Cricetulus griseus: one gene and its partners. The protein of the gene in region 1 interacts with the protein of each later gene in a pairwise test. Links are inferred from orthologs where the notes say so. Each region holds a gene or a part of one and is shown in the gene's direction. Other genes may lie near its edges. The genes, in order: Cinp, Atrip and Cluap1.

The links.
Region 2: the proteins of Cinp (region 1) and Atrip interact in binary tests that used the Homo sapiens proteins (3 or more experiments, as listed by UniProt). The link is inferred for Cricetulus griseus from reciprocal best matches to the Homo sapiens genes CINP and ATRIP.
Region 3: the proteins of Cinp (region 1) and Cluap1 interact in binary tests that used the Homo sapiens proteins (3 or more experiments, as listed by UniProt). The two-hybrid records come from large-scale screens. The link is inferred for Cricetulus griseus from reciprocal best matches to the Homo sapiens genes CINP and CLUAP1.

The regions. Positions count from the first base shown.
Region 1 is NC_048598.1:183,138,470-183,142,120, forward strand, and holds part of Cinp (cyclin-dependent kinase 2-interacting protein), read left to right. Parts: intron 1-1,202; coding exon 1,203-1,371; intron 1,372-3,651. UniProt on the Homo sapiens protein: Component of the DNA replication complex, which interacts with two kinases, CDK2 and CDC7, thereby providing a functional and physical link between CDK2 and CDC7 during firing of the origins of replication.
Region 2 is NC_048597.1:217,184,707-217,188,892, reverse strand, and holds the start of Atrip (ATR-interacting protein), read left to right. Parts: upstream 1-1,290; 5' UTR 1,291-1,409; coding exon 1,410-1,662; intron 1,663-2,855; coding exon 2,856-2,986; intron 2,987-3,699; coding exon 3,700-3,870; intron 3,871-4,186. Other genes in the region: Ccdc51 (mitochondrial potassium channel), read right to left, coding at 731-734. UniProt on the Homo sapiens protein: Required for checkpoint signaling after DNA damage. Required for ATR expression, possibly by stabilizing the protein.
Region 3 is NC_048600.1:42,721,098-42,724,748, reverse strand, and holds part of Cluap1 (clusterin-associated protein 1), read left to right. Parts: intron 1-2,723; coding exon 2,724-2,831; intron 2,832-3,651. UniProt on the Homo sapiens protein: Required for cilia biogenesis. Appears to function within the multiple intraflagellar transport complex B (IFT-B). Key regulator of hedgehog signaling.

The DNA.
Region 1 (3,651 bases):
GTTTAGTCCCCAATACCACTAAAACAAAGAAGAATAGCCCTAAAGAAAACTGAGTTAACTAGGTGAGTGAACACACACAAACGGTTTATGTGATCCAGGTTGGAATGGTACAGAGCTGGCACAGGCGTACAGAGTAAATAAAGACCATGTTGGAGAAGGAATGGACAGACATGGCTACTAGTAATAGGCCTTGTGATACAGGTTGTTATGTGTCAGGACCTCACAGCCTCATACATTATTTACATACTTTGTTTTGTTTTTTTGAGACAGGGTCTCACTATGTAGCCCTGGCCAGCCTGGAACTCTGTATGTAGATCAGGCTGCCCCAAACTCATGTGTATCCACTTTTAACAACCCTGTGGAGCAGATGCTGTTTTATCACCACTCTGCAGATGAGAACATAGAAGGTCCAAGAGATTGACAAATACATTTATACTCAGAGCTATGATTCATGCCCAGGAAGCATGGTCCTCCAAGGGTAGCCTCCGAGGCATGCAGCTGTCGTGTGTCCTGGATTCCTCCCAGCTGTGAGATGGCTATGTGGGTTCTAAGTTGACAAGGCAGCACACACACTCTGCTCTTGGTCTTGCTTTCCTTGGACAGTGGGATCAGATGAGTCTTCGATGGGCGGCCCTAGCTTACGGAAGGAGCTTCCCGGAGTTCTGCCTGGAGGTGGAAGGCTGGAAGTGGGGAGTGATGAGTCTTGAAGCCGTGTTGCAGGCAGGAGCATGGATTTCTCCCCACTCCTATGCAGAGCAGCGCAGCCTGGCAAGATCTCCTCTCCATGCCCAGTGTCCCACTTGCTCAGTATATGATGTGATGAGCTTTCAGGAGTCAAAAGGCCTGGAAGAAGATGGCTGGAATACGTATAGTCAAATCTAGATGATCTCATAGGAGAGAGAATGGGACCACTGATGTGTTAGCACAAAGTCACAGTTTTACTTGTTTCTGACTCTTAAAGTAGACAAGGTGCTGTGACGTACACCTTTAATCCCAGCACTGGAGAGACAGGAGCACCAGGATCTGTGAGTTCAAGGCCAGCTGGGGCTACATTTGAGACCCATGGAGCCATGAGCTGAGAACATCCTCTTGGTTTCTGGGACATTGGTTTGTCCAGTTTGTGTGGCATTTCAGACCATTTTACTATGGAGGGCTGTGGTCATGTGTTCCTTAACAGTCGTGTTTCTCTTGGTCCCTATCAGCAAAGACTCTTGGAATTGCAACACCCAGAAAACCCGTCTTATCTGTCAGTGCAAGAAAAATTAAGGACAATGCAGCTGATTGGCATAACTTAATCCTGAAATGGGAAAGCCTCAGTGATGCCGGTTTTACCACCGCGAGCAATATTGCCAACCTAAAAGTCAGCTTGTTGTAAGTACATTCGGAGTTCCCACACTCTGTATTTAACCACTGGGTGCAGGAGTCAAGAGGGTGAGAATTTATTGGTGTAAATAAGTAAAATAAAATATTTAACCAAAAGAATGGCGAAATGATACATACAAATATGAGCCATACATATACATTTAAATGCAAGTGTTGGTAGGATGTGCTGAAAAGGCAAAGACAGGAGGATTACAAATTTGACACTGGGCCATAGGCATGGCTTAGTGCCACCAAGCCTGATGAGTTCAGTCACTGCAACCCACGGGGTAGAAGGAAAGAACCAAACTACTGCAAGTTGTCCTTCCCTGTCACACCGTGGCATAAATGTGCCCATTCCTATATACACACAAGTAAATGTGAAAATAAATAGATTATGCTACATATTGTTTACAACTGTTGATAATGTTATAAAAAGATTGGAAAGAGGAAGACGCAGACCCATCACATTGTCTTGCGGGAATGTGGGGTGGCAAGTAAATGGGATTTCATGCTGCTGGCTGCCGTTTGTCCTCACCTCCCTTCCACTTATTGATTTTGCTTGGTTGCTTTATGGTTCTTTTTGAAATAGTTTCCCTCCCTGAGGCTGGCCCTGAACCCCATGTATTCTTCCTGCCTCCGTCTCCTAAGTGCTGGGTTATGTGTGTGCATCGCAGGACCTCACTGTCTGCCCAGGTTAATCTCACACTGGTGGGCTGATTTTCTGCCTCAGCCTCCCTAAGGAGTTGGAACCACAGATGGGCACCATTGCACCCAGTTCATTTTTTTGTCCCTTTTTGTTTGTATACATGGCTATTTTGTCTGCGTGTACGTCTGTGTACAGCTTGTGTGTCTGTTGCACACAGAGGCCAGAATAGAGCATTACCCTGAAACTAGAATTGCATGTGAGCTGTCACGTGGGTGCTGGGAACAAACCTGGGTCTTCTGGAAAAGCAGTCAGTGCTCTCAGTAGCTAAGCCTAATTTCTCCAGACCTTACTGCTATTATTGTTTTTTAGACTTAGTAACTTTATTTTGTGTGTATGAATGTTTTGCCTGCATGTATGTATGCGCATCATGTAGGTGCAGTGCCTAAAAAGGCCAAAAGGGGGCATCGGATGCTCTGAAACTGAAGTAACAGACAGCTGTGAGCCCCAATATGGACACTAAGAATGGAACTTAGGTGCTCTGACAGAGTAGCAAGTGCTCTTAACCACTGAGACGTCCCTCCAGCCTCCATCCTTTATTTGTTTTGAGACAGGGACTTATGTAAGGCCCAGGCAGCCCTCAGACTCACTGTGTGGTTAAAATGACCTTCATTCTGCCTTCTCTCAAGGGCTAGAATATATTTATAGGTGTGTGCCACCACCTCCAGCTTCATTTTTTTTCTAAAAAAGACAAAGTAGGGGTGGGGAGACTAGAGAAATGACTCTTGAGGTTAAGAGTATTTTCTACTCTACTACCCAGGAACTGGGTTCAGTTCCTAGCATCCCCCTGGCAGTTCACAGCTGCCCTCTTCTGGTCTCTATGCATACACATAGTACACATACCTATAAACAGACACACAAATACACGTACACGCAAATTTTTTTTAAAAATGAATAGAAAGCTGGATGGAACAAATGATGGTGCACACCATTTAATTCCAGCACTTGGGAGACAGAGGCAGGCAGATCTCTGTGAGTTTGAGACCAGCCTGGTCTACAGAGTGAGTTCTAGGACAGCCAGGGCTACACAGAGAAACCCTGTCATGAAAAACTAAAACCAAAAAAAGAAAAAAGAAAAGAAAAGGAAAAAGTGAAGACAAAGGAAAAGGAAACAAGTATGGTGGCTCATTCCTTCAGTTCCAGCATTTGGGAGGCAGAGGCAATTGGATCTCGTGAGTTTGAGACTGGCCTGGACTACAGAGCAAGTTCTAAGCCATAGTGAGGCCCTATCTTAAATAAAAAGAAAATAAAAAAGCTGGGCGTTGGTGGCACACACCTTTAATCCCAGCACTCGAGAGGCAGAGGCAAGCGGATCTCTGTGAGTTCGAGGCCACCCTGGTCTACAGAGAGAGTTCCAGGACAATCTCCAAAGCAGTACAGAAAAACCCTGTCTCAAAAAACCAAAAAAAAAAAAAAAAAAGACAAAGGAGGAGTTGGAACTCATAATGCAAACATGAAGACCTAAGTTCAAACTTCAGCACCCAGTGTGTGTTTGTAATCCCTGCACTGAAGCAGAAGACACAGGCCTCCGTCCCAGCCTAGTCTGTGCCCCAGGTCCCAGTGATTAGAAAGCATGTCTTCAAAAA
Region 2 (4,186 bases), on another chromosome or scaffold:
GTATTCAGCCAGGGATGGTAGCCCACACCTACAATTCTAGCACTTGGAGACTGAGACAGGCGGATTGTAAGTTTGAGACCATCTTAAAAAACAAAAACAGCTGAACATGGTGGTTCATGTCTATAGTTCCAGCACTCAGAGGGGAGGAAGGACATTTTGGAGTTCCAGGCCAGCTTTGGTTACATGTCAAGACACCGTCAACAGGCGGGGAGGGGGCTGGGAGGCTTAAGCAGTCAACATGTTGGGCAGCTAAAGGAAACTACTAGCCGCTGCATCCAAAAACTAAGGCCGTTCTAAGTGAGCCAATGCCTTCTGGCCTCTGTAGGCATCAGACATGCATGTGGAGCACACACATACATGCAGGCAAACACACACACACACACACACACACACACACACACACACACACACGACCTAAGGCATTCTAGGCCTGAGCACTCTCCTTTTTCACCCAATGTCTTAGCAGACAGATAGGCTCACAAGCTAAGTCTGGCACCCAGGAAGCAGAGTAGAAAAGTCTGATCCTGTTGGTCTCCAATGCTAACCCCCCAGTCCTGCCAACTGTTCCGTCCACCACTTATGCTCATAAAAGCCTATCATACACCCAAGCGCAACCCAAATCTTCGCTCCACTGTGAAGTTTTACCACACCTCTCTGCCGCAGGAACTTCCACCTAGTATCCTTGTCGAAGATGACTTTTTCTCAGTAACATTATGCGTCAGGCTCTTACCCATTTTTCTTGCCAGTTTTCCCTCAACCTGTTAGGCGATCCAAGGACCACTCACAAGGAGCCTTCCTTGACCGCTTGAGCTTCATTCACCTCTATGCAACCAGCGCTCAGGACATAAAGAGTCTCCGAGAAATAAGAAAGTTCAAGCAGCGGCGAACAGACACACCGTTCTCAAGATCGCCCTTCCCGGACTTTCCTCAAATACACACATCCTTGAAACATTCGCTATTCTGGAAGATCCCTTCTCCCCAAGGCAAGAGAGTCTCCGGATACATGACAGGCGGGGCAGGCGCGGTGAGTGACCCCTGGCTGCTGCCCGTCTCGACTCAAGGCGGACTGTATTCCACGCAACGCCAGCGGGGACAGCCACAGGTGCGGCCGGACAGACGCTCCTCGGTCCCGCAACACGGGTAGCCACGACAGCACTGCACAGCGCCCAGGCACAAGCGGCGACTTCGCGGTGCCGAGTCCAGACTGCAGCAGGAACCTGTCAGGTGTAACAGCGCGCTCAGTACACGTCATCCCTCCGCGCCCGCTAGCTGACAGCGGATTGGCCCGCAGGCTGGGGAGACGCTCGTAGCTGAAGCGAGCCGCGGCGCGCGGGCGGTTGGGCCAAGTCGGGCTTTCTGCGGACGGGGCTGCGCTTGGCGTCCTCGGACGCTGCGGGCAGAAGGAAGTCATGGCTGGGACACCCGCACCGAGCAGCCACAGGAAGCAGAGCGGCGGCCCGGCGCCTCTCCCGGGCCTATCGCGGGCCTTCGACAACCCTCCGAGCAAGCGGGCCCGCAGCTTCTCGGAGACCGCGGACCCGGACCCCGAAGACCCATTCGGCGCGCACGCGGAATTCACCGCGGACGACCTAGAGGAACTCGACATCCTTGCGTCACAGGCCCTGAGCCAGTGTCCGGTCGCGCCTCGGAACAGCCTGGCCAGTGAGTGCCTGAGGGGGGCCTTTCCCCCGGGGTGGTGCACACCGCTTCAAAGCGGTGGCTTTGGCAATGGTGTCTTGCACCGCTTCCCCTTCTCTTTATAAGGCGAGGGACCCCGATCGAAGCGCGGTTCTGCTTCACAGGGCCCTTTGATTTGGTGTTACAACATCCAGAATGCCCAAAGGCCTCACATACCCAGGCTTTAAATATAGATAGCCAGACTATTATTTATTTCCCTTGAAACATAACTACGACCACTTCAGAACTGTCACAACCCATGTGAGAGGATTTAGATTTTATGCAGCCCAGCACGAGCATGGGAAGCGTCTGGCAGAGGCAAGAAATGATTCTTACACAACCAGTAATCTACGATAGTTACCCAAAAGTTAGGAATGGCAACAGCCACGGGCAATGAGCAAGAAATATCAAAACTTTCCTTCACAGAGCTTACATCTTAAAAAGTGAAATCTCGTGGACTGTCAGGAGGATCTGATGGGCCCTTTTCGTCAGTTCTTAACACCTAAAGCATCTGAAAAATAGGATTATTCCTGGAAATGTAGACCTCCATCTCTCCAGCAATATTGCCTGGGAAACCTGGCATTAGAAAACACTCATTGCTGACCAGATGTTTTAAGTGGTAGTGGTGAGCACTACTCTCCACCCAATGGTACAGGCAACTCCTCCTCTTTCTTTGGCCCTGCATTACCTGAATCCATCCCTGAAACCCCACCTCCCCCGTGAGATATATCCATTTTTTTCGACATTGTGTCTTTAAAGACTAGCAGATCCTATGTCTAGCATATTGCAGTAAATAATATTAATGATACATTGTAGTTATAACCAGTGATATCTCAGCCATTAGCTGAGATTCTTGAAATTAGGTGCAAAGGGAGAGTATTCAGACATGCTATTTCATAAGAATTCTTTATGAGTTTACATCATGTTCTGAGATTGAAAGTATTGGTAAATATTATTTACTGGGTCTTTCTCAACTTGGCTTTCAAGACAAGCATTTTATGACAAAGGTGGGTACATACTGAGTCCTGAAGTATTTATGGAATTTTTTTCCCAAGATTTTCTCACTCTATAACTAGACTAGCCTTGAACTTGGGATCCCCCTACCTCAGCCTCCCAAGCACTGGGATTACAGTTCTGTGCCACCATGCTCAACTTAATGGGAACTATTTTTTATGCAGGTGCTCATAAGGTCTGCCAATTAGATGGGTCATCAAATAGTCCTATGAGGAAAAACAAAGAAAATGCTCCAGTTAAAGATAGTTTTGAATTAGAAGTACTTCAGACACAATACAAAGAACTTAAAGAAAAGGTATGTAACTTGTGAGGTTTCTTTCCTTGTTTATTTGGTGTAATGCTGAGAATATAACTTTACCTTTACACGTGCTATAAACAGGGACACCGACTGCTAAGCTATATTTCCAGCTCTAACTTCTTGCATTTGTAGCTAATTCATTCATTTACGTATTAAAAAGCATTGTGTAAAAAAATATAAAATTTTTAAAACATGCATGTAGATTCACCCCCCTGAAATGAAAGATTAGGGGAAGAATGCCTGATTTTTTTATTTGCTCTGTGTATGCATGTAAGTCTATGTGAGTTTACATGCACCACATGTATGCAGGTGCCCATAATGGTCAGAGGGTTTTGGATCCTCTGGAACCAGAGTTACAACTGGTTGTGAGCCACCTGATGTGGGTACTGAGAAAGGAACCTGGGTCCTCTGCAAGAGCAGTAAGTACTTTTAGCTGCTAAATCATCTCTTTAGCTCCCATAACCTGTATCTTTCATTTGAGGAACAATCATTATATTGGTTGCTATTTCATTAGTTTTGTTAAGTAATCATCATCTTTCATATGGCCATCTGTAAGTGCCTCTAAGAAACCCAGGAATGTAACATGGAGCATTAGTTCTGGAGTGTGTGACCCATAGTGTCAAAAAAAGTTGAAAGAATTTATGTATATGTGACAAGTGTATTCTGAAACTGTTCTTGCTGAATACCAACTGACTGGACATAATTTACAGCTGAAAGCAATGGAAGAAGAAGTCTTAATTAAGAATGGAGAAATTAAAATTTTGCGTGACTCACTGCATCAGACAGAATCAGTTCTAGAAGAACAGAGAAGATCACACTTCCTTCTTGAGCAAGAGAAGACTCAAGCACTCAATGAAAAAGAAAAGGAGTTCTCTAAAAAGGTGACCCAGATCATTTGTTTTGCATGCTATGGACAGTAGTTTTGCCTATTCGCTAAATTCCATTAGAAGCAATAACCAAAGCTGGGTGTAGTAGTGCATACCTTTAATTGCAGGAGGCAGAGGCAGGTGGATCTCCATGAGCTCTAGGTCAATTTAATCTACATAGTGAATGCCAGGCCAGTTAAGGCTACATAGTGAGACAGTATCTCTAAAAAGTGAAACAAAATAGAAACAATAACAAGTGTTGCCTGGAAATATTCAGCCATCATTTGTCTTAAGTACTTCCTGCTCTTACTAAATGGCATGCACCTTCCTT
Region 3 (3,651 bases), on another chromosome or scaffold:
TTCTCACAGCTTTCATATTAAGTACCATTTGAGTTTACTCAGACAGCTCACAGAGGCTAAAACGGAAGCACAGGTCTGCACCAGGTGCTCTTGAGACTCTTTTTCCTACTGGGTTGCTTTGTCTGGCCTTGATATGAGGCTTTCACCTTGTCTTATTGTAACTATCTTGTTTTGTCTTGTTTGGCTGTCATCTCTTGGAGACCTGCTCTTTTCTGAAGAGGAAATGAGGTGGAATGGATGGACCTGGGGAAATGGGAGAGCTAGGAGGAGTGGAGGGAGGGAAACTGTAGTCGGGATGAATTATATGAGAGAAGAATCTATTTTCTTCTGTGTTTTTGTTTAGGTTTTTGTTTTTGTCTTTCAAGACAGGGTTTCTCTGGGTAGCTCTGGCTGTTCTGGGACTCATTCTTTAGAACCAGACTGGCACCAAACTCAGAGATCTTCCTGCTTTTGCCTCCCAAGTGCTAGGATTAAAAGCATATGCCACCACCACCAGGCTAGAGTCTTTTTCAATAATAATAATAATATCAAAGCTTGCTTCTAATTACACAGCATCTAACTAATATTCATTTCCTATGATACAACATTTTTGTCTCATTAAATACTACAGTTAGCTTGAATTTATGTAATAAATAATTATGAAAGACAAATTGTTCCTAGTAGTATGAATGGTCCCGTTATAGAGCATGCTAAAAAAGCAACTGTTTCATGCAGTATCTATGAAGGGACCATTGCTCGTTGGCAGATGCCATACAGTCATCCAGGAGTGCTCAGTAAGGCTCTCACCTATAGGAAAATGCACTAAACTTGAGACCTAGATTCTGGGATTCCATGATGAGCTGGCATTGCTCACCGGGACAACATCAGGGCGTCCATCCAACACTGGGAGCCGTAGCAGTGTGTGGTCTTCCTGCTACACCACAGTTGCGTTGTGTTATCTTCCTGCCTCATCACCATTACACTTCTCTTGCTACTTCTCTGTTTTCATAAGATGTTTTTATTCTCAGGGTCAAGACAATACACCTGACCATTTAGCTCTTCCCCCAACTTGCCTGTTCCCTTTGTGTTTATCTCCTTTGTACCTGTTCTCAGAGAGCCCTCGAAAGAGAGCAGGAACTTCGGGGAATCCTCTAAGAACAGGTTTAGAAAACCTGAAAAGTGTCTCTAGCCAAGCCACTCCTGCTGCTTTAGTTCTAGGTTAGTCAAGACAGAAAACAAGTGGTATAGTGATCTATATTTCATTGATATCAAATTTTCATGGATGAAGTAAGAAGGAAACTAAACTGAGTGGTGATTTTGTGTTATAGTTATTAAATTATGTTAATATGAATCCATTGTCTGTATAAAAACTTTTAGGAGATTGTGGTGGTGATCTTGAGGGATCCCTTTGTGACACTGTCACCAGCTCTAGGCTTTCCCTCATGAACTGAAAAACACAGCTCTTCTTCCTTTGGCTAAAGGAAGCAAGTTGCCTTCCATAGTTCCTGGGTGGATACAGTTATCTCATATAGGCACAAAGGAAAGCCTTTTGGAAGACCAACAACTGCTGGATTTCCAGGCTGACTTCTAAGTCAATGTCAGACCAACGACTGCAAATCTTTCCAAGTTCCTCCTTCCCACCCGTCACTCCCTGGGCTTAGTGAGGCACGAAGCAATGAGAGATTTTTCTCCCCAATATAGTCTCTCTCTGTTGGTTCTGTCTAGAAAATGTTCATAGGTTATAGGCACAAAGACTATTTTTTAAATGTGTATAGAGTGATTTCAGGGCTGGAGAGGATGATTAAGAACCCTTGCTGCTCTTCCAGAAGACCCTACTTCAGTTTCCAGCACCCATACCAAGTACCCCACAACTGCCTTTAATGCCTTTAACACCAACTCCAGGGAATCCCAGCATCCTCTTCAGGTCTCTACAAGCCTCCCCACACATATGGCATACAAGCACACACACACACACACACACACACACACACACACACACACACACACACACTGAGAATTTTTTAATAAAAAAAAAAGTGATTGCTCTTGAAAAAAACAAAAAAGCAATTGCACTGAAAATCCCTTTTATAGAGTACGTTCATGAACACCCCTCCAAAATAAATACAATTTATTTTTAAAAATAGCTTTCTTAATTAGTTTTGTGGGGGGGTTAGGAATTGGACCCAGAGTTTTGCAGAAAGTGAGTACATGCTCTACCACTGAGCCACAATCCCAGGGACCCAATGTAGCCTTTATCTAGAACTTTCCCCAGTGAAGAATGTCATGTACTAGTGCACTTTCTTTCTCGGGATATCCTGCTTTGCTGCCCAAGCCTGGGCTCCCTCCTCGCCTCCATCCTGCTTTATCTTCTTCATCTAGCTCCACTTCTTTATCTTTGTTAAGGTCAGGACTCTTAGTGACAGCCTGGCATAGGACAGAGTGGCTTTCCCTCCCCCATTAGCCAAGGGCTTCCAGCTACCTTGACAGCCAGCTACTCAGTTTGTGAAAAATTCAGTCTGTCATAACACGGTCCACATTCTTTTTGCTTTGAAAAATTGCTCTATTATGAGCTGCATTAACACTTCACTAGTACCTGAGAAAATCCAAGGGGTCTCATAAAAGCTAATAGATGAAAAGGGGCCAAGAAAGGCAGATGCTTTTGCACTGAAGCCTTAATAGACAGGAGATGTTTGGCTGTAATGCAAGAACTACTCCTTTATTCTGCCTTCTGTTCTTCCTGTCAGGTAATGATGACTCAGACATAGACATCCAAGAGGACGATGAATCTGATAGTGAGCTAGAGGAGAGACGGCTATCTAAGCCTCGGACAGCCATGGAGGTGCTCATGCAAGGTAGTATAACTCCTTCTGTTGCCCAGCTCCCTTGCCTGTTTCTCAGATCACCAAGGGCAAAGTCAAATGGGTGCTGCTTAGCATTGAGATCCACAGGGTACTGTGAAGGGTCCCCGAAGCCATTCCTGCCTCCTTTTATTTTGTTCTTCCGGATCTGTCCTCATACTGCTCATTGGGAATCGTTACCTCTAACAGTCCTTCTGTTCAATTTCATGTGGCTAAGCTGGCCTTTAATTTACAGTGTACCTCAAGATGACCTTGAACCTGATCCTCCTGCCCTACCTCCTAGGTGTTGGGATTATGGCATTCACCACCATGCCTAGCACCTGTAATGTTCTTCTCTGTGGCCCTGGGAATTGATGATTCACAGATACCTCAGAAATGGCCTCTGCAACTGAACTCTGTATTCTGCTCATTTGGGTTCGGTACAGTTACATCCCTGTGGCCAAGGAATTAACACAGAGTAAAGGGATCACATGAGTACATCTCATAAAAAAAAAAAATTTAAAATGGTTTTTTCTCATGTTCCACTTCAACCTAGAGGGTCATAGCTAATTTTCAGGGGCTTTGTCCTTACAAATTGATTTTCCATGCACATGTAAGATACACTCACATACACACATACTGTCAAACATAGGTAAAAATATTGCTTGAAAATTCTTCAGCCTAAGTGGGAACAGATTACATCATTATTCTATGACTTTTATTCTGAAAATTAAATATATTGGGGCTGGGGAGAAGGCTGAGCCAGTAAAATGCTTGCTGTTCAAGTATAAAATCTGGGTTCAGATTCCCAGCACCCATGTGAAAAGCCAAATGC